Linked DNA regions of Stegostoma tigrinum. The protein of the gene in region 1 purifies or fractionates together with the protein of each later gene. This does not show direct contact. Links are inferred from orthologs where the notes say so. Each region holds a gene or a part of one and is shown on either strand. Other genes may lie near its edges.

Region 1 (10,283 bases):
AAAATGTGAGGCTGGATGAACACAGCAGGCCAAGCAGCATCTCAGGAGCACAAAAGCTGACGTTTCGGGCCTAGACCCTTCATCAGAGAGGGGGATGGGGGGAGGGAACTGGAATAAATAGGGAGAGAGGGGGAGGCGGACCGAAGATGGAGAGTAAAGAAGATAGGTGGAGAGGGTGTAGGTGGGGAGGTAGGGAGGGGATAGGTCAGTCCAGGGAAGACGGACAGGTCAAGGAGGTGGGATGAGGTTAGTAGGTAGCTGGGGGTGCGGCTTGGGGTGGGAGGAAGGGATGGGTGAGAGGAAGAACCGGTTAGGGAGGCAGAGACAGGTTGGACTGGTTTTGGGATGCAGTGGGTGGGGGGGAAGAGCTGGGCTGGTTGTGTGGTGCAGTGGGGGGAGGGGATGAACTGGGCTGGTTGAGGGATGCAGTGGGGGAAGGGGAGATTTTGAGTCACTCTCTCCGTGACTCCCTTGTTCGCTCCACACTGCCCTCCAACCCCACCACACCCGGCACCTTCCCCTGCAACCGCAGGAAATGCTACACTTGTCCCCACACCTCCTCCCTCACCCCCATCCCAGGCCCCAAGATGACATTCCACATTAAGCAGAGGTTCACCTGCACATCTGCCAATGTGGTATACTGCATCCACTGTACCCGGTGCGGCTTTCTCTACATTGGGGAAACCAAGCGGAGGCTTGGGGACCGCTTTGCAGAACACCTCCGCTCAGTTCGCAACAAACAACTGCACCTCCCAGTCGCAAACCATTTCCACTCCCCCTCCCATTCTCTTGATGACATGTCCATCATGGGCCTCCTGCACTGCCACAATGATGCCACCCGAAGGTTGCAGGAACAGCAACTCATATTCCGCCTGGGAACCCTGCAGCCATATGGTATCAATGTGGACTTCACCAGTTTCAAAATCTCCCCTTCCCCCACTGCATCCCTCAACCAGCCCAGTTCATCCCCTCCCCCCACTGCACCACACAACCAGCCCAGCTCTTCCCCCCCACCCACTGCATCCCAAAACCAGTCCAACCTGTCTCTGCCTCCCTAACCGGTTCTTCCTCTCACCCATCCCTTCCTCCCACCCCAAGCCGCACCCCCAGCTACCTACTAACCTCATCCCACCTCCTTGACCTGTCCGTCTTCCCTGGACTGACCTATCCCCTCCCTACCTCCCCACCTACACTCTCTCCACCTATCTTCTTTACTCTCCATCTTCGGTCCGCCTCCCCCTCTCTCCCTATTTATTCCAGTTCCCTCCCCCCATCCCCCTCTCTGATGAAGGGTCTAGGCCCGAAACGTCAGCTTTTGTGCTCCTGAGATGCTGCTTGGCCTGCTGTGTTCATCCAGCCTCACATTTTATTATCTTGTAATATATCCATGTCACCTTTAGCGACACCACACTTCTTTAAAGGAACTCCTGTAGGTTGGATAATCATGATTTCTCTTTGACAAAACCATGTTGATTCCACCTGATTACCTTGAACCTATGTGCCCCATAAATAATATCTTTAACAACAGCTGTCATGGGGAAGACGTTAGAAAATGCAAAGCTAACTGGCATTGCTACGTGGGCCACAATTGTGTAGCCATCAGTATAGTCTAAACCATGGATATGTTGGGGTTATAATATGGCGGTTACCAAAGGCTCTTAGCCTGGAGAGATTGAAAAATCTTCCTGGACAGTCTAAACCTAACCATTGCCTGTTGTAGAAGCTAATCGTGAATGAATCCCTGACTAAGCTGAATTAGGTAGCGAAGAGACTTGGCACATTGTCTTGATTGACTCTTGTCTGGATATAAAAGGACACTTACTAATCCATTGGGAAGAATGGATACTGTCATATTGTCATAGACGAATCACAAAAGGCAATGAACTTGTTGAACAACAAAGTCAGTGGAGGACTTTCCAAATAGCTTCATGATTCATGGCGAAGGTCTGTGACAGATCAATAAAGCTTACATAAACCTCTGAATTTGTTGCCCACAAATTTTTAGGATTTACTGAGTGCCAAAGATAGCGTTTTGAGATTACCTTTGAAGGTTGAAAACTGCCTTGAATCTCTGGAAAAATGTTACTGACATAAATCTGATGGTTCAGGATGATTCATGTGACAACTTTCAATTCAGTATATTGAAAATATGTAAACAGGTGTTTGTTGTTCACATTACAATTTCATCTGTGCTGGGGAGACCAAACATTTTTTGAGCAACTACTTTGCGAAATTCTTTACTTCAAGCAAGCATAATTGAGTTTTTAATAGCATATCATTTTAATTCTCCACTTTGCCCTCATGCTTACAGTGCTGCCTTTGGCCTACTAGTGTTCCAGCGAAACTCTGAGCAAGATGATCAGCATCTCTTTCAATCAGGCACCGTAAGCCTTCTGGGTTCAATTCTGGGGTTTGAAAATTTTCAGAGGATGATCTCTTAGAAAATACAAGGGGAATTGTTTGGGTAAGTTTCTAATATCTCCCTGATATTCTCAAGCAACTCACGGCATAACTTGAGTGTGACAGAATCCTGCAAAGAAACAGCAGCTACTGGCAGTGAGATCTGAGGTTCAACACACAGCAACACGTGAGGGCTCTCACTTAGATCAAAAATGCTGAATTCATGTGGAACTCGAAACAGATTGAAAGAATGGGCTCACTTGGCACAACAGGAAAAATGAGAAATGTAGCTCACTGCGAAAGAAAGTCTTGAGTTTAACAGTTCCCAGGCTGAGAAAGAATTAGAAGTAAACTTTCAGGAGCTAAAAAAAAAAATCACTGGACTGGTTCTGGAAGAACTGAATATATACACCTACAAAAGTGTATACTTACAAAAAGATATCTGTAAACAGTGTTTTGGGTTGTGCTAAAGAAAAACAGGGAATGCTCTGTTTTGTGGCATAGAAGATCACTTTTCTACAAAGATTTATCAACATTGTCAATAATCTTTACTTAAGTAATGGTCTTAAATATGAAAACTTATGTCATTATTTATGTTATTAACTGCAAGTTTCTATTTGCTTTTAAGAGTTATCAAACTCTCAAGAAAATCATAATGCCATGCTAAAAAGAAACAAGTATGGTTAAGTAGCGAGGTGCCACATTTTCGGCTTGCAATTTAAAAAAACTCAAAGAAAGTCTCCATGCTGTAGTCACCAATGAAGTCTAATAAGATTATAAATATTTTGCACCGAATAAAAACAAACATTCAAATCATCTCCACTGTTCACAGTGGTGTTTCAGGTAAAAGCAGAAAGGCCGAGAGGTGAAACAATTTCTACGTTATGAGTTTCATCTATAGTAGCTACAGCAATTCAAGTCATCCTAAGACGATGTGGCATTAACAACAGTGCTACTTAAATAAAGTCTGTCAGTATAGCAAATTTAAGTTTAATAATATACCACAATTTCAATGGATTTTAGAACAAGCCTTTGAACTCTCCATCTAGTCTTTCACATGAATCAGAACTGCAAAGTCAAGGTTATTTGTCACATTGAGGACTATAAATAGCATGGCAAATTCATTCTTTTGCAACGCAAGTTCTCAAAGCCTAGATGCTTACAAAAATAAAACTACTCATTAACATGACGACTATTGATAGCAACTGAAAGTGTGGGAATCAGCATGCAAAATGCCAAAGTGACCTTTCCTTGGCAACTCATTTTCAGTGCTTACAAAAAATAAGGTCTTACATTCGGGACATTTCACAGGCTTTTCTATTAAGCGCATTATTCTCGATATACATACGTATACTACATAGTCCCCTACCAACATACCACACTTACCAGAAAACAAAGCTGCGGCCAGTTGTGAATAAAATATCTATATGTATATATGGAATAAGGTTCAGACAAATCTTTCGTGATCAATCTCATTATATCTGGCATTTGCAACTCTGACTCATAGCCAACATATCGTATCCTGTCGTTCGAGTCGGGCTCTTGTTGCGGGTGCAAACTACAAGCAGCTATCGAGGCGGCCAGGCGGTATTGCTCATCGTCATCTGGGCCGATACCAATCCGGTCGAGTCCATCTCTGGGGTTGAGTGTGTCAGGGCCGGCCGCCTCGGCAGTCCTTTGGCTCGCATGATTCACATTGGGACTCTCACAATATTTGCCGTCGGCTTTCCTCCTGCCTCCTTCGGAGAGTGACAGTCCAGACTGAAACTCGACGGCAGTGGCGGCCTCAGCGCAGGATAGGCGGCCTTTGCACTCCGCCTTGTAGTGGAGCTCAGGGTTTATAACACAGCCGTTGAGCAGCCGCTGCTGCTGTTGGTGGTGGTGGTGGTGGTGGTGGTGATGATGGTGGTGAAGGTGCAGGACGCCCTTCTTGGCTCGGTTAGGCTCCGGGCAGTTTCCGACACTGTTCGCCGAATGTGGTCCGCCTTCCCCGCCGCGTTCCTGGCCAGCCCCGTCCACAGCAGTCGCTTCCTCCTCCTCCTGCTCGCCGCCCCCTCCTGGCTGCTGCCCCGGGACCTTGCCGTACGCTCCCGAGTGGTTGAGAGTAGCGGAGAGGGGCGAGATGTCACTGGGGGCTGGGGACAGCACGCTAGGCCCGGGCGGTACATCAGACATCCTAAAGAGCGGAGAAACGCAGGGTCGGCATGAGGGCCAAAAGCAGCGGGGGGAGAGAGAGAGTGATCTAACCGGGAGAACGGGGCGGGAGGGGGGGGGGGGTAACCAGGAGGGGACTCACCGCCCGCCCTCAGCACTCACACATCCTACAGCCGGCCGGACCACACCAGGCCAGGCTGCACAGGACCGGGACCTGTCAAGCAGGGCCCGACATCCACACAGTCAGGCAGGGTGGGAGCAGGGGAGGGGGAGAGAAATCAACTCGTTGCCGAAGTGAGGAAGCCGGCCACTGCCTGCTCCCTCATACAGCCAGCCACTCGAGGCCGTTTCCACTCTCAACCTAGGCACTGCCGTAAAGTGAGGCTGCCGCGCGGCCCCGCCGCCCCATCTACGTCATAAATGCGGCTTCCCGTCTCGCCCTGAAAGTTGTTTTTACGACGTTGACCTTTAACCGACGCCGATTGTGCGTCGGGAAGGAGGATTTGACGTGAGGTTTTGGCGAATGGCCCTTGTGTTCTTGGGGAGAAGATAGGAGTTTGTGTAGTTCTGAGTAAATATCATTGAGCTAAATGCAGCCGTAATCTTTCCCTCCCTGATGAGTGATTATGTTTCTGTTTCTGTTTCTAGTGTGAGTTTGGCCTCTGGAAACTGTTTAAATCATTCCCTAGCTGCAAGTGCCATTTTGTGTCCACTGAGCCTTTGCTTTCTTCATATTGCAGTTTGTGAGTTAAGCTATTGTGTCTTCTGTCAGCCTCAAATCCAAAATTAGAATTTATTTGATTTTAGTGAAACACGTGTTTTATTATTTGCGATAACAAGGTGTAGAGCTGGATGAACACAGCACTCCAAGCAGCTTCAGAGGAGCAGGAAGGCTGACGTTTCGGGTCGAGACCCTTCTTCATTCTGCTCTCTTTTAAAATGTCATCCTTAAGTGTATATTTTCACAGCTATTGTAGCTGAAGCTGGGTAACTGTCAAATATACAAGGGACTGGCCTAAAATGCTCCCGAACGAATCCTTTTCCAAACACGCTAATACAACTTGCACATCGGATTTCATCGGCAGTTCTTACTATCTCTCAGTATAAACCCCAGGTGTTTTTGTCGCATCCTCAATTGGTGTTGAAAGTATCAGCCCAATTGTGTGAAACAGTGATAGGTGCTGGATATGCGGATGCGGGCTGACCACTGTGACCTGACAAAAAGTGGTTTTGACACCGATTCACCGGAATCAAAACATTCGCTGTTGCTGAAACATGTGGGACGCAAGCTTGCAGGATTTCATTCAAAGGCGCCCTCTCTACTAAACATTCATAATAAGTGTGTTAAGTGCTTAATTAAAACACTGGAAGGATGAATTTCAGTGGATTATGCTCATATCCCACTGGGTAACATCGTTGCCTAATTAAAATCTAAAATCTATATCCAGTAAAGTTTAAATGAGTGCAGATTTAAGGATGCCATTTCACAGTGAAACACCTTTCCACAATGCACTTATTTATAGGAAACAGTAAGAAAATGTTGTGCGTATATATACACCACAGGCCAGAGATAGAGATGGTTCTGGGCCTGAGGTGTTATATTGTTTTGGCATTTGTGGAGAAAACAATGAAGTTCAAATGGGATACATTTTTTTCAGGGCTGAAAAATTTGATTTAGCAAACACACTAATTAGGAGAAGGCCATTCAACCTCTCAAGCCTGCTCTACCATTCAAATATCTTTCAAGGAGAAATAACCCTAATGGAGACTACTTGGTTACGGGCAGAGTATTGCTGTCTTTCATCTGCTTTTGTTATTCCACAATTGATTTTTCAGAGATTTCTGAAGTTTTTTTTAGATGATAAGAATACATTTAACAGGAAATGCATAATTCCCCTGTTAGCTGCAATCCTCAAGAATAAACAACACACCCTGAGGGAATAATTTGCTTTATAAAAATGTAGGTCAACAAGTATGGCATCAAATGTGTTTTGCAAAGTAAGCACAGTCTATGTGTTTATACTTTCTTAGTAACTGGTTGCAAGCTTTCTGTGGCCACTGTCTCAGGTTCAACTGTACTGTGTTTATGTTGTTTCAAATTTGCTCGAACTGAGCTGCTGACCCCATATGAAGAGAGTTAAGAATGGCTCAGCATTTCAATTCTGGTATATTGAAGCAGCTCAACTATCTAAACTTGCTTATCTTAGGCAAAAAAAATGATAATGAAAATCATGAAATTATTTAAAATGATGAATAATAATTTTTGAAGTGACATTCTTATTTTTCAGTTGTTCCATTTATTGTTACTTTGGCCCATTCTCAAACTATCCAATGATGTATTGTTTTGGTGTTCAGTAATTTCTGCTCAGTTTATTGTGCCTCAACTGCCAGAGCTCAATCCCACTCCAATGCTAACCTTGTTATTTGCCGGCGGACTAATAATTTGCTTTTCAGAAATACCTTTGGTGCCTTAGAGCCATGGGCTTCTGACCAGCTATCAGTGCTCATGTACTGCTCTGCTACCTACAATTTTGCCAGCTCTTGAACCGTCTATTTTGTGCCCTACTCCATGACGCTCTGTTTCAGGAGTTTCATCTATTAAGTAGTCCTGTTTCCCTCTTATGTCCTATTTGCTGTGTAGTTCACGCTGTCTCTCTGTTCTTCCATGAGTGCTTGTATCTGTTTTAGCCCCAATTCTGTATTCTCTATTCTTGTGCCCATTGCAGTCATTCTGTTAGTCTGCAGTGTGTTACTCTTCCTTTCAACTTTAACTCTTCTTGCAGTAAAATTTCTTCTCTTTCTCCTTATGTCCTGATGTCTCTTTGCTATTTAATATCTGTTCCTTTATCTAACTTTGCTTCTATCCATTTATATTCCTTTTGGACAGCAGCACTGTACTTGGTCACGCTACTTCTATAAACTCTTCCACTTCATGTTACTGTGAACCCAGCTGATGTTACTACTGCACAAGTCAGAACCAAGACTGAAATTTGGCTTGAAAGATCATATTTTGGTTTAACCAAGATGTTCTGTCATGGAAGCACAAGCATGCAACCCTGCACGTTTGGTTTTAACAATAAAATAGGAGTATTTATGCAAAGAAATGAAGATAGTATAAATCAGTCTCTCACTGAAGAGAAATCCCTTCTATGGCACATCCGTAGGGCTTAAGAAAATTGTGGATTCAATTCCCTGTCCTCAGAATCTGATAGCTTTTTAGTTGACTCTTCATAAAACTTAGCTTAGACTTTCTGATAACCTCTTCAGGATTTTAAATTAATGTTTCTGGTCTGAAACCTAAAAGATAAACTCTTCACATTCAGATAGTTTAGAACTATTAAGAAATAAGCTATTTTTCTTTATCAGGAGAAACGGCCTTATACGTCCAACTTCAGCCAAAACTTCTCCAAACCTTGAATTGAAACTAAAAAGCTTTTCCAAGGAAAGAACATCCAGTTTCTAGAATCTTCTAACTGAAGTTTAATGCACTGCACAATTTATTCTGTGCTCGTATAATTCTCCCAATGGAACCAAGTCCCCACTAGCTTCCAAGTGCTCTGTCTCTAATACTGATCATTGTGGCTGCAGAAATATTTAAATGTTAATCATTATAGGTCTTCACACACACAAATCTTACTCAAAATTTAGATTAATTGGTATAAGGGTAGATCAAATGAAGAAAATGGGATCTGTACCATTAGGGATCTACAACTGAACTGTACAGGAACTGTTGTATTTGGGAAGTTATGAATTGAGGAAAAAGGGAAGGCAACAAAGGAAGGAATTGATGTGGGAAATGATAAACAAACAATGACAGGAAAGGACAGAGTGCAGATCCAAGAGCAGATTGTCGGCTAAGACTGAAGATAATAACAGGACAAGACTTAAAACACTGTATTTCAATGCATGTATCATTCACAATAAAACAGATGAACTAGTACAAACTGAGACGTGTACAATCCAGCAGTCATAATTGAGATGTGGCTGCAGGATGACCTGGAGTGGGACCTCAATATTGAAGGCTGTATGACATTTAGGAAGGTCAGGAAGTTAGGAAATAACTTGAAAAAGATGATATTAACACAAAAGAGAGGGATGACTTAAGCTCAGGAAATTAGTATATAGAAGCAATCCGGATAGAGATGAAGTGATAATGGGAACGGCAGATGCTGGAAAATCCAAGATAATGAAGTGTGAAGCGGGATGAACACAGCAGGCCAAGCAGCATCTCAGGAGCACAAAAGCTGACGTTTCGGGCCTAGAACCTTCGTCAGAGAGGGGGATGAGGTGAGGGTTCTGGAATAAATAGGGAGAGAGGGGGAGGCGGACCGAAGATGGAGAGAAAAGAAGATAGGTGGAGAGGAGAGTATAGGTGGGGAGGTGGGGAGGGGATAGGTCAGTCCAGGGAAGACGGACAGGTCAAGGAGGTGGGATGAGGTTAGGTAGGAAATGGAGGTGCGACTTGGGGTGGGAGGAAGGGATGGGTGAGAGGAAGAACAGGTTAGGGAGGCAGAGACAGGCTGGGCTGGTTTTGGGATGCAGTGGGGGAGGGGAAGAACTGGGCTGGTTGTGTGGTGCAGTGGGGGGAGGGGACGAAATGGTATCAATGTGGACTTCACCAGCTTCAAACTCTCCCCTTCCCCCACCGCAATCTTTAGACGACGTCCATCCTGGGCCTCCTGCAGTGCCATAATGATGACACCCGAAGGTTGCAGGAACAGCAACTCATATTCCGCTTGGGACCCCTGCAGCCTAATGGTATCAATGTGGACTTCACCAGCTTCAAAATCTCCCCATCCCCCACCGCATCCCAAAACCAGCCCAGTTCGTCCCCTGATAGTTAGATATTGATAGTTAGTTTTACTTACTCAAAACTCATTCGGACCCTTTAGCTTGGAAAATAGCTAATATACCCCTCCTTTATTAAATAAGGGAGGGAGCCAGAAAGAGTGGTGGGGCAGGCTGAAAGGCCAAAGTGGTTTTCTTTTGTGCTTGGTTCGTGTGTAAATTAGACATCTTATATCATAATTTTATCTACCACTATCCCAGATAGCATACACTGAGTGGTCTATCAGAGTCTCCTGCTTGAGTATTGATTTGGATTTTATCCTGGATGCAGTGGAGTTTCACGGCTGCTTGGTATATACCTTTCATGACATGCTGAATCTGATCCTGTAGACCTACCTTTTAACTTGGCACTTCATAGCCTGCCTCCTGCCCTTTGCATCTTTGATCCTTCTCTGTTTTCTCGGAAGCAGTTCTTTGACTTCTGAAAAGTTAGATCGATGAAAACTAGACGGATTCATTTGCACTATTTCAATGCGATTTTCGTTCGAAATGGTAAAAATCATTTTTCTACCGAGAGCTTCTCCTGAGATTTTCTCGAGGGCTAAATTTTCTCCTCATGCTTTACTTCTGCATTGAGTCCCCGTATAGCAAGCACAAGAGAGAATCAACCTCAGATTGAAACAACTCCTTGCAGATTCCGACTATTCAGGTGCGAGGGCAACCTTTATTCTGAAAAGGGGCTAAAGGACTCGAAAACATAACCTCTGCTCTCTCTCTACAGATGCTGCCAATTCTGCTGTGTTTCTCCAGCAATTTGTATGTTTTTTTTATTTTTCTTTGATTGGTCGTCCCCGTGATTGAAGTTTCCCAGGTGATTTTTGGGACCGAATTCACCCTCCGACCCCAGGTATTTTGATCGTTGTCCGCCGCTATTATGATGG
Region 2 (10,685 bases), on another chromosome or scaffold:
TGCAGGTGATGGTGTTCCCATGTATATGCTGCCCTTATCCTTCTAGATGGAAATGATTTTAGGTTTGGAAGCTGTTCAGTAGGAATCCTTGTTTATCACTTTCTGCCAATGCCACTTGGCACGCAAGTAGTCCTGTTCTATAGCTTCACTAGATTGACACCATTTTTAGGTATGTCTTGTGGTATGTGCCCTTCTGCCCTCTCAATGAACCAGGGTGGATCCCCTGGCTTGACAATGATGGTAGAGTGGGGAATATCCTGGGCTATGAAGTTGCAGCTTGTATTAGCGTACAATTCTTATACTGGATCACAGTGCCTCATAGATGCCCAGTTTGAGTTGTTAGATCTGTCTGAAGTCTGACTCATTTAGCACAGTAATAGTGACATATAATGCATTAGAAGGTATTCTCAATGTGAAGACATGGCTGTACCGTAGTGACTCTTACTGGTGCTGTCACTGACAAATATATCAATGCATACATAAATGCAACAGTAGATTGGGGGTGATGAAATCAAGTATGTTTTTCCCTCTTGTTGGTTCTATCATTGCCTGCCACGGACACAGTCCAGCAGTAATATCCCTTAGGACCGAACCAATTCAACCAGTAATTATGCTGCCAAGCCACTCCTGTGGTGGGCATTGAAATCCCCCACCCAGAGTACATTCTGTACCCTCGCCACTCTCAATGGTTCTTCCAAGTGGTGTTTAACATACAGAGGCACTGACTCATCAGCTGAGGGAGGACGATACGTGGTAATCAGCTGCAGGTTTTCTTACCCATATTTGACCTGAAAACATGGGACTTCCTGGAGTCTGAAGTCAATATTAAGGACTCTCAGGATAACTCTCTCCTTACTGTATACCACTGTACTGCCTAACTCAGAGGCAAGAGCTGATACTATGAAAGAATCATTAATTTAGAAAAAGGATATTGAGGTAGATCCAGGTCCTAGGTTATTGCTGTCAAGGAAGGAATGTCTTTTTAATTTCCTCATGGTCCTCTGAACCTTTGTATATTACAATCCATTCAGTCCATGACCTGTTTCAATAATGAGTTGTCCCCTTCAACCTATTTTCCTGCCTTTTCTATTTGGCCAAGTTTGATGTGTTTGTTCTCAGAGTATTCTCCTTTGTCCCCTTCCGCAGCCCACTACTACTCTTAAGGTTTCCCCTCTCTCTCCCCCTACCTCCCAACATCACCAGAACCCATCTGCTCGCTGTTCAGCGCCAGTTTTCAACAAAACTGTTTACCTCTATCTGGTGGAAAGCAGAGTCAACACTGCAGCTCCCCCACCCCCACATCCAGTCCTGAAGAAGTGTACTACCTGAAACGTTGACTGCTCCTTTCCTCCAGATGCTGCCTGGCCTGCTGCATTCTTCTAGCCTCCTGTTGGTCTACCTGGATTCCAGCATCTGCAGTTTTTCTTGTCTCTAACTATGTTTACCTCTACCATTTGGTATTCTTACACTGTTGGGGTCAGCAAGTCCTCCTTCGCTGAGTTACTTAGCAGTCTCAATCTTTTTCTTGCAGGGATAAATCTGTACACTAGACCGGTGTCTCTGAGAGCTTCTCCCTCAGGGAGCTATACGTACAATGATTGGTGTCTCTCAGTCATTCACTCTGCAATCAGTCATGTTTCTGGAGGGTTTTGTTTAACTGCTGAATGTTTGGATGTAAGACTCTGCACCATTTTATGTGTCACCTGAAAACAGATGGTTTGAAATATTGATCAATTGTCAGAACACATTAGTGACTTCAGCTTTCCTGAAAGCAAACCCTGTCATGTGACAACCCCCCTCCATCTCAATCAAATTCCTTCCTAACTCAAAACAAACGCCAGTTAATTTTTTAAAAATGAAGAAGTGCATATGTAGCAAATCAGAAACAAGACAAAATTGCTGAAAAAACTCAGCTGGTCTGGCAACATCTGTGGAGAGAAAGCAGAGTTAATGTTGTTAGACCTGCTGAGTTTTTCCAGCAATTTCTGATTAATTGAAGCTGCATACCTCAATCACCTGTTCTTGACCTGTTAGCGTGTTGATAATACGGATATCTCTTGTTTTTTCAGTTAAATATCCAACCTCATACTTTGGATCCTTCCACCATGGCGTCCCAAAGGCATTAGACCAATCACTCATTGGCATGAGGGGTGGAATGTGAGCAAAGCGTCCACGAGGAGTATGGTACTTCTGGCAATTGGCGAGCTGGTCAATCTTGATGCGAATCTACGTTGGGAATGAAGAGATTCCTGTTCATTGCTCCATTATTATGGTACATAGTGCTGCTTGCTATTTTGTGGCCTGTTCCCCCTCCTCTCCAGCTGACAATTTTACACAAGACTAAGTTATATCTGTGCCCAGAGTCCTTCAATGCTCCTAGTCCAGCTCTGTGGCTTAGTGGTGGGTGGTGGTAGTGGTTGGGGGGGGGGGGTTCATTTCTGTCAGGAGGATCGGGTCACAGAGACTTATAGGATTACAGAACAGTGACAGCAGAAGGCCATTCAGCTTATTGTACTGTGCTGGTCTTCTACACAAGCAATCCTGCTAGACCCCCTCCCCTATCTTTACCCTAAGATGTCCAAATCTTTCCTTTTCAGAAAATGTTTCAAATTTCTTTCGAAAACCTCACCTGAAATTGTCTCTACCACTGTCAGGCAGCACATTCAAATCCTATCCACTCACTGTGTGGAAAAGGTATTCCTCTTGTCACAATTGCTTCTTTCACCAACCACTTGAAACTTGTACCCTCTTGTTATTGATACCTCCTCCAATGAGAAAAGTTTCTCTCTATCCTCTTGATTAAATCTTCTATTAGCCCTTTCTTCTCTATATTTTTCCAATCTCCCTTCGTCACAGAGATTCCTCATTCCTAGAACCATTTTTGCCCTTTCTCACTAAAGCCTTTAAATCCTTCTTAAGTGCAGCTCCCTGAATTGAAATCTGGTTGAGACTGATGTTGTGTTCCATACAGGTTATTATCACAATTTCCTTGCATTGAAGGAATATGAGAAAATTCCTCATTGCCTCCAAAACACCAAAACTCGGCCCTCAGCTGACTGAGGAGAAGAGGATCCAAAGACTAAAATTTCAAACCAGACTAAGGTCAAATTTTATTGGGCAGCAATGATCTCCAGGCTCCCATATGCTTTGGCGACTTGCACAGCATACAGCCAGCACCTCACAAGACTGGAGAAGCACCACCAGCATGGCCTTCATAAGAGTCTCCAAAACCTGTGGTGACACTGGGAATCCAGCAGCACACTGAGGCATTAATTAGTCCAAACCAGCTCCCGTAGGTAGGACATGCCATTTATATCTTTGGCAGCTGACTCTGGAAATCACTACACTATTCGGAGCAGCAGAAATGCTTTAGGGTGGTCCTCAAAGCCTCCCCAAAGTGGTTATACATTCCCTCCACCATAGCCTTTCTTCACCTGGCGTGCGACCAACCGAAATGGGGCAGATTCAGTTGGGAAGGCGCTAATACGCTGAGAGGGTTCATTGGGAATGTCAGATGCCATGCACAAACTTCACAACAACCCAAAATGTTCAACCCAATAGGTGCACATCTAAATACTTCTTCAACGTAATGATGGTTTCTGTCTCTACCACCTTTAGAAGCACTGAGTTCTAGATTCCCACCACTCTGTGGGTGAAAATCTTTCTCCTTACATGTCATCAAAGCCCTTACCTTAAATCCTCCCTGGGCATTGATCCCTCCATCAAGGGGAAAAGTTTCTTCCTGTCTACCTTATCTACGCCCCTCATAATTTTATACACCTCAATCATGTCCCCTCTCAATCTCCTCTGCTCAAAACAGAATAGTCCCAGTGTGTCCAATCTCTCTTCATAACTGAGACTCTCCAGCGCAGGCAACAACCTGGTAAATCTCCTCTTCACCTTCTCCAGTGCTATTATATTTCTTCTGTAAAGCAAATTCCAGAGCTTCGCACAGTACTCTAGCTTTACCAATGTTTTATACAGTTCTTTTTAAAGCACAGGAACCTGGTCAACATTTTGTGTTAGATTGATTCCATCAGAGAGATAAACCAGGGAATTTGCATGCTTTGATTAAATCATTAAGTTCTGTAACAACGCAGTAGTGGATTTTGAGAATCAATGTACTTTCCCAAGTATGCTAAACGCCAGGTTAAATATGGATAGGGCGATGCTGGGTACTGTAGTCCCTGGTCAGATGGTGAATTATTAAAATTGTTGCTAAAATGCTTTGGTTGATGCTCATTGTCTTCAGTTTCATTTCCCCTGGCAGCTGAGATTCCATACTTACATCTTTACGCTTCTCATCAAACCAGTGGCTGATATCATGTCCAGCTGCTTCTAAAATGGGTTTCAGTAGAATGTCACCTGGATAAGAGGGAGAATACAGAATCAGCACAGCCTGGATATAGCACAAAAGATACTGTCTGCCAGCTATATCTTCTGAAAGGTATCTACAGATGTAAATGAAGTGCTTTCCATGCCATCAATTTTGAACCCCGAATGGCCAATTAAACCAGGGCCAACAGGGAGGAAAGATGCAAAATTTCGAGGTCATCACTAAAAGAAGATTTGTATTGACATAGCGCCGTTCATGACCATTGGAGTCACAGGGTCGTACAGCCCCCCGGCAGATCAAAGTAATTTTCAATCAATAAAATATTTTACAGTACATTGTTGTTGTTATGCCAGAATCACGTCATCTCATTTGTGCACAAGAACGTTCCACAGACAGGAATGTGATAATGGCCAGATAATTATTTTTTAAACTATGTTGGCTGGAGAATGAATGTTTGCCACAGGTCTCTAGGGAGAGTCCCGTCCCTCCCCTCCTCACAGCTCTGCTTTGAAATAGCAGCCACAGGATCTTTTTCAAGGGCAGATGGGGCCAACTCCCATTTCCCCACCACCCACTAACCTAAACTGCCTGCTGGTCCAGATTTTAAAATTCTCACTCATTGTTTTCAAATCCCTTTATGGTTTCGTGCCTTCTCTGTAACTTTGCCACTCTCTTCACCCCTTCCCATCTCTGTAAAGTCCTCCAGCCCCTACCTCCCTCCCAAACTCTGTGACCCCCTCGAGTCCAAAATTTCTACACTCCAACAACCAATACAACCCTTTCGTGCATCCCCCGAATCCCAGTACTCCACAACTGGAGGCTGTGCCCTCAGCTACTGGACCCCAAACTGTGGCATTCCCTCCTTAATCCTCTCGGGGCTTTGGTCACCGGCTGTAATCTTTCCTTGTGGTTTAGGCATAGAACCACATAGGTTCAGTAATTGCTCGCCTGAAAGTTGTTCCTTTGACCACAAGAAGGGCTCAAGTTGTCGTTGTGGAGGTTGATGCCGGGCTGAGTGATGAAGGTGGTGCTTCACAGTGCCAGGGATGCAGGTTTGATTCCACCCTCGGGTGACTGTCTATGTGGAGGTTGCACATTCTCTCTGTGTCTTTGTGGGTCCCCTCTGGGTGCTCCGGATTCCTCCTACTGTCCAAAGATGCAATGGTTAGGGTGGATTGGCTGTGCTAAATTTCCCAGAGTGTCCAGAGATGGACAGATTTGGGTGAATTAGCCACAGGTATTGCAGGATTACAGTGACAGGGTGGGATGCTTTTTGGAGGGTCGGTATGGACTTGTTGGGCCGAATAGCCTGCTTCCACACTGTAGAGATTCTGAGCTCTTCACCTTTAAACTGTTCGGCTAAAGGGGTCAGGTCATAGACTTTTCCCAAATAGGAGACCCACAAATCATTCATGGTGTTATGGACAGCCACTTCCCGACTGCTGTAGTAGCGGGAGTGCAGCATGGTCGTGGGGTGCTTCGCTCCTCCTGCTACTGCTGCCTCCTCCGTCGCCATGGTGATAGTAACAGGAAGTGGCTCGGGGTACAACTTCCGGTCCTCGGAACTACATCTCCCAGGGGGAAGCGGAAAAGCTGGGTTTTTTTTCACCAAAAAAACCGCTGGATTTTTAATGCGACGCCGCCGCTGCAGCTTTTCCTTCACAGCTGCTTTTCGTGAGTAATTTTGCAGCGCGGGGACTGCGCGGTGCATGAGGCTCGGTTTGAGGCAGGAGAAAGCGGCAATCTGTGCACTTCTATCGTTTTCTTTTAACATGCCTTAAAATGGCGGCCGGAGCTGAGCGTGGCCTCGCCTTGAGGGGGTGGAGGGACAGGGACAGGGACAGGGACAGGACGCGGGAATGGTGAGGGAGGTGAGGTGTTGGTTGGGGGATGGTGCCCAGAGCCGGGGGGGGGGGGGGGGGGGGGGTGATTGTGGTGCCCAGAGCCTGGGGGGGTGATTGGGGTGCCCAGAGACCGGGGGATGGGTTGCCGGGGGCAGGGGTACCGGGGTGGGGGGCATGGTTGCAGGGGGCTGGGATATGAGGGGGGGAGGGGAAGGACATGGTTGAGGGGGCAGAGATACCGGGGGGACCTGGTTGGGGGGGGGGGCAGAGATATGGGAGGGGCATGGTTGGCAGGGGCAGAGATACAGGGTGGGATGGTGAGGGGGGGAATAGAGAGGGGGTGGTGGGGGGAATGGTGAGGGAGGTGGAGGGGTGGGCAGAGAGATGGTTGGGGTGGGGAATTGTTGGGCGGGTGCAGAAAGATGGTCCCGGTGGGTGGGGACAGAGAGACAATGGAGGGGGAATGGTGAGGAGGTGTACAGGGAGACGGTGGTGAGGGGGTAATAGAGAAATGGTGAGAGGGGAACGTGGACACAGTTGGGGGGGGTGAATGGTGAGGGCGTGACAGAGATGGTGGTGGGGAATGGCAAGGAGGTGGAGCCGTGAGGGGGCACAGAGACACGGTGTGGGGGAGTGGTTGGGGGCTAGAGAGATAGTAGGGGTAGGGCGGGACAGAGAGAGACAATTGGGGGGAATAGTGAGGGGGGGGTGTACAGAGAGATGGTGATGGGCAGTGGTGAGGGGGGGGTACAGAGAAATGATGAGGGGGGGGACAGGGACATACTGAGGGGGGTGAATGGCGAGGCGGGGGGCGGTTCCAGAGAGATGGCAGAAGGGGGAATGGTGAGGGGGGTGACAGAGAGACTGGAGGGAGTTTGCTGAGGTTGGGGGTACAGAGACATAGAAGGGGGAATGGCGAGGAGGGGTTTGGCAGAGAAGCGGGAATGGCGAGTGGCGGCCAGACGGCGGGGGGGAATGGGGGGGGACAGAGATGGGGTGGGAGGGTGGGTGGCGACAGAGACAGTGGGGACATGGGGTGGGGAGTATGGTGGGGGTTGTACAGAGAGACGGTGGGGGAGGAATGGAGATGGTGAGGGGGCAGAGAGACTCTTGCGGGGGGGTAAGGGAAATGCGGAGGGAGTTGGGTGTCGTGGAGACGGTGGTGGGGTGGTCAGGGAGACAGGAAGGAGATGGGGTGGCGGGGGTGGGGGGAGTCGTCTTGGGGAGAGGAGAGAGACAGCAAAGGTGATAAATGAAATAACTCCATAAAGGCTGATATCCCGTCACCAAGTCACCCTTTTTATATGTATGTGTACAGCACTGTACGCTGACCCAGCGTGCTCAAAGCCAGCTCCAAGAATGACCAGGTCCCGACCCAAAACATCAACTTTCCTGCTTTTCTGCTGCCTGGCATCTCTCACACTCCTGTATATGTCTGTCATCCAGGCTCTTGATTGGATCAGGTTAACAGTGCCAAGGTTTTACATTAGATTTGTAGGTTGGGTTGTGGATGCTGTGGTTGGTTGGCTTGCTGAGCTGGTTTGTTGTTTTTCCACAGACATTTCATTACCCTACTGGGTAATATTATAAATGCAGCTTCCAATGAAGCACAGAGATAATGGGAACTGCAGATGCTGGAGATTCCAAGATAATAAAATGTGAGGCTGGATGAACACAGCAGGCCAAGCAGCATCTCTGATGAAGGGTCTAGGCCCGAAACGTCAGCTTTTGTGCTCCTGAGATGCTGCTTGGCCTGCTGTGTTCATCCAGCCTCACATTTTATTATCCAATGAAGCACAGTTGTGTTTTCCCACCTGTTGTTTAAACTGTCGGGTCCACTGAGGTGGATTACCTCACTTCTGAGTTTTCCTTCGCTATGGAGTATAGAAGAGATCTAGTTCTATGTGTCTGTTGATGACTTTCTTGGTGGAGTTCCAGGCTTCTAGGAATTCCCGTGCTTGTCTCTGCTCTGCTTGTCCCACACTCTCCGACACACTTGTCACGGTACCTTACGCATCGGAACTAACCACAAGACTGAATGACCACTGGGCATCAGAGTAGCACACAAACCCACATCAACTCTACGACAATTGCTCAATCGAGCGAAAGACCCATTACCCACAATGGACAGGACCAGTGTCATATACAAGATTCCCTGCAGAGACTGTGACAAACACTACGTCGGACAAACAGGAAGGAAATTAATTTGGGTGCATGAACACCAATTGGCTACAAAAGGACATGACCAATACTCACTTATCTCTCTCCGCATGAATAAGGAGAACCACCAATTTGACTGGGACAGCATCAAGATCCTGAGACAAGCAAAGCAGGGACAAACACGGAAATTCCTAGAAGCCTGGTACTCCATGAAGAAAGCCATCAAAAAACACATAGAGCTTGACCCCATAGACACACCACTGTGAAGAAAATCCAGAAGTGAGGCAATCCAGCTCAACAGACTCCAGAGTTTAGATAATAGGCGGGAAATCACAATGGCGCTTCGTTAGAGGCTGCACCGACGATATTACCTAGCAGGGTAATGAAACGTCTGCGGAACAACAACGAGCCAGCTCGGCGAGCCAACCAACTACAACATTAACAGCCCCAGTCAGGGAACTATTTTATCAGGTCCACCTGGCTGACCTCATTCAAATCAGTAAGCTGAGGGGAGAGAGAGATGATGGAAAGATGGCAGGAACTGAGGTGTGATGGAATTACTGGGGCATGGGGGTGAGTGGTAGTGGAGTGTGAATGGGGGAGATGGGCTGGAGGGCTTTCTGGTTTGTGTTGGGGAGATCGGCAGGGGGATTGATCACATTGGCATGTGATGGGGGAGTTGGGCAGAAGGACGTAATGGGGTGTGATCATGAAGATGGGACGGGGTAAGGTGGAAATTGGACCAGAGTATGATGAGGCAGACCTGGCAATGATTGGACATGCAAAGGAGTGAGAGAAGGTGAAGGAAATAGGACAGGATGAAACCAAGGGATTGGGTGAGTTGGAGAGGGCAGGAAGAGGGAGGGAACTGGGAGAGATGGTGGTGGGAACGGGTTGGCAGGACCTTGGAAGATGGTGGAGAAGGCAGGGAGGGAGGGGTGGGAAGTAAAAAGGAAATGGAGTGAAAGGAGGGATGGTGAGAATAGGCGTGGGGAAGAAGAGGAAGAGGAAGAGGGCACAAGGGAGAAGGTAGGGGGCTGGATGAGCCGACACTGGGAGTAGGAGGAGGGGGGGAAGGAATTGGGGTGTGGGAGGAACCATGGGAGTGGGTTGGCAGAATGGTGTGAGTGGAGGGGAGGGAGTGCATGGGAGATGAAGGAGAACAGGGTGAGGAAGGAAGAGACCTGGGATTGGAGGGGATCTGTGGGATAGTGGGAGGAGGGATTTAGGATTTGGGGACAAGGGTAGGATGCGGAGAGGAAAGGGAACTGGGAGATGGGGCAAGGACGTAGGGTTGGGGGAGCCTGGGGAGAGAAAGGAAGAGAGATGGGTGGTAGGGTGGGGAGAGTTAGAACTGGGGAATGAAGGGGAGGGATGAACAGGGAAATTGGGGTTGGAATGTACAGTGCTTGGAGGAGATAACTAGTGGAATAGAGAGGGGATGGGAATTGGGGCATAAGTGGGAGGGGTATCAAACCAGGCAATGTGGGGAGGTTGAAGAGGGTGAACTGGCGAGAAAGTAGGAAGGAATGGGATAGGTGGGTGGAGAACATGGATTTGGATTATAGTGGGAAGGGGGGGCATCCAGAGGATAGCTGAGAAAGCTGAAGGAACTGAGGTTGGAGGGATTGAGTGGGGAGATATGCAGTGGAATCTGGTGTTTGGGGAGGTGTTCGCCAAGCATAGAACCTGGAAGGAGGGTTGGGAGAAACCTGGGGGTGGATGTGTTGGGAGAATGAACTGGGGATAGAGGGGAAGCCAGGGGAGTGGGGGAAACTGGGGCATAGGAAGCAGCAGAACCTGCATATCAGGAAGCAGCTTGGAGTGGGGTGAAAGAGAATGAATGCTGGTGCGGTAGAATCAGGAGTTGGGGGAACTGCTGAGTGGGGAAAATGGGAGGGGGTTATCGTGAAGGACTGGCTGTTAGAGTGAAGATGTGCAGGGCTGAGGCAATTGAGGTGAAAAATGATGGGGGTGTTGATCGCGATCAGTGGAGGTTGCGGGCATAAGGTGAGTAGGGAATCCATGTGCCCCCATTTGTGACCAGCGTGTGCATGGATGTGGTAGTATGTGCGTATTATTATGATTGTGTACATGTGCTTATGACTGTACGCATGTTATTGTGCTTCTGAGTACGTGTACAAGTCTTGAACAGTGAATTGGTTCATTCCAATTGTACTGGAGAATGCTGCAAGAAATGTCCGTTCAACCTGTCATTGCCTTTATCCGTGTGTCAGTAACATTGAAACAGATTTTGGGTTGGTGTGGGATGATACTATGTGCACATCGGCATTCACATTAGCAGCTTTGGCTGTGAAGGGCCAAAGGGAGTGGAAGGCAAGGCT

Evidence for each region.
Region 2: the proteins of naa30 (region 1) and naa38 purify together in Homo sapiens (co-immunoprecipitation; 3 studies listed by BioGRID and IntAct, with this or other methods). This does not show direct contact. The link is inferred for Stegostoma tigrinum from reciprocal best matches to the Homo sapiens genes NAA30 and NAA38.

Annotation. Positions count from the first base shown.
Region 1 is NC_081363.1:49,432,021-49,442,303, reverse strand, and holds the start of naa30 (N-alpha-acetyltransferase 30), read right to left. Parts: upstream 4,946-10,283; 5' UTR 4,576-4,945; coding exon 3,787-4,575; intron 1-3,786. UniProt on the Homo sapiens protein: Catalytic subunit of the N-terminal acetyltransferase C (NatC) complex. Catalyzes acetylation of the N-terminal methionine residues of peptides beginning with Met-Leu-Ala and Met-Leu-Gly.
Region 2 is NC_081398.1:14,295,175-14,305,859, reverse strand, and holds the start of naa38 (N-alpha-acetyltransferase 38, NatC auxiliary subunit), read left to right. Parts: upstream 1-6,184; 5' UTR 6,185-6,198; intron 6,199-10,685. Other genes in the region: cytochrome b5 domain-containing protein 1, read right to left, coding at 2,008-2,226, 4,289-4,365, 5,681-6,110.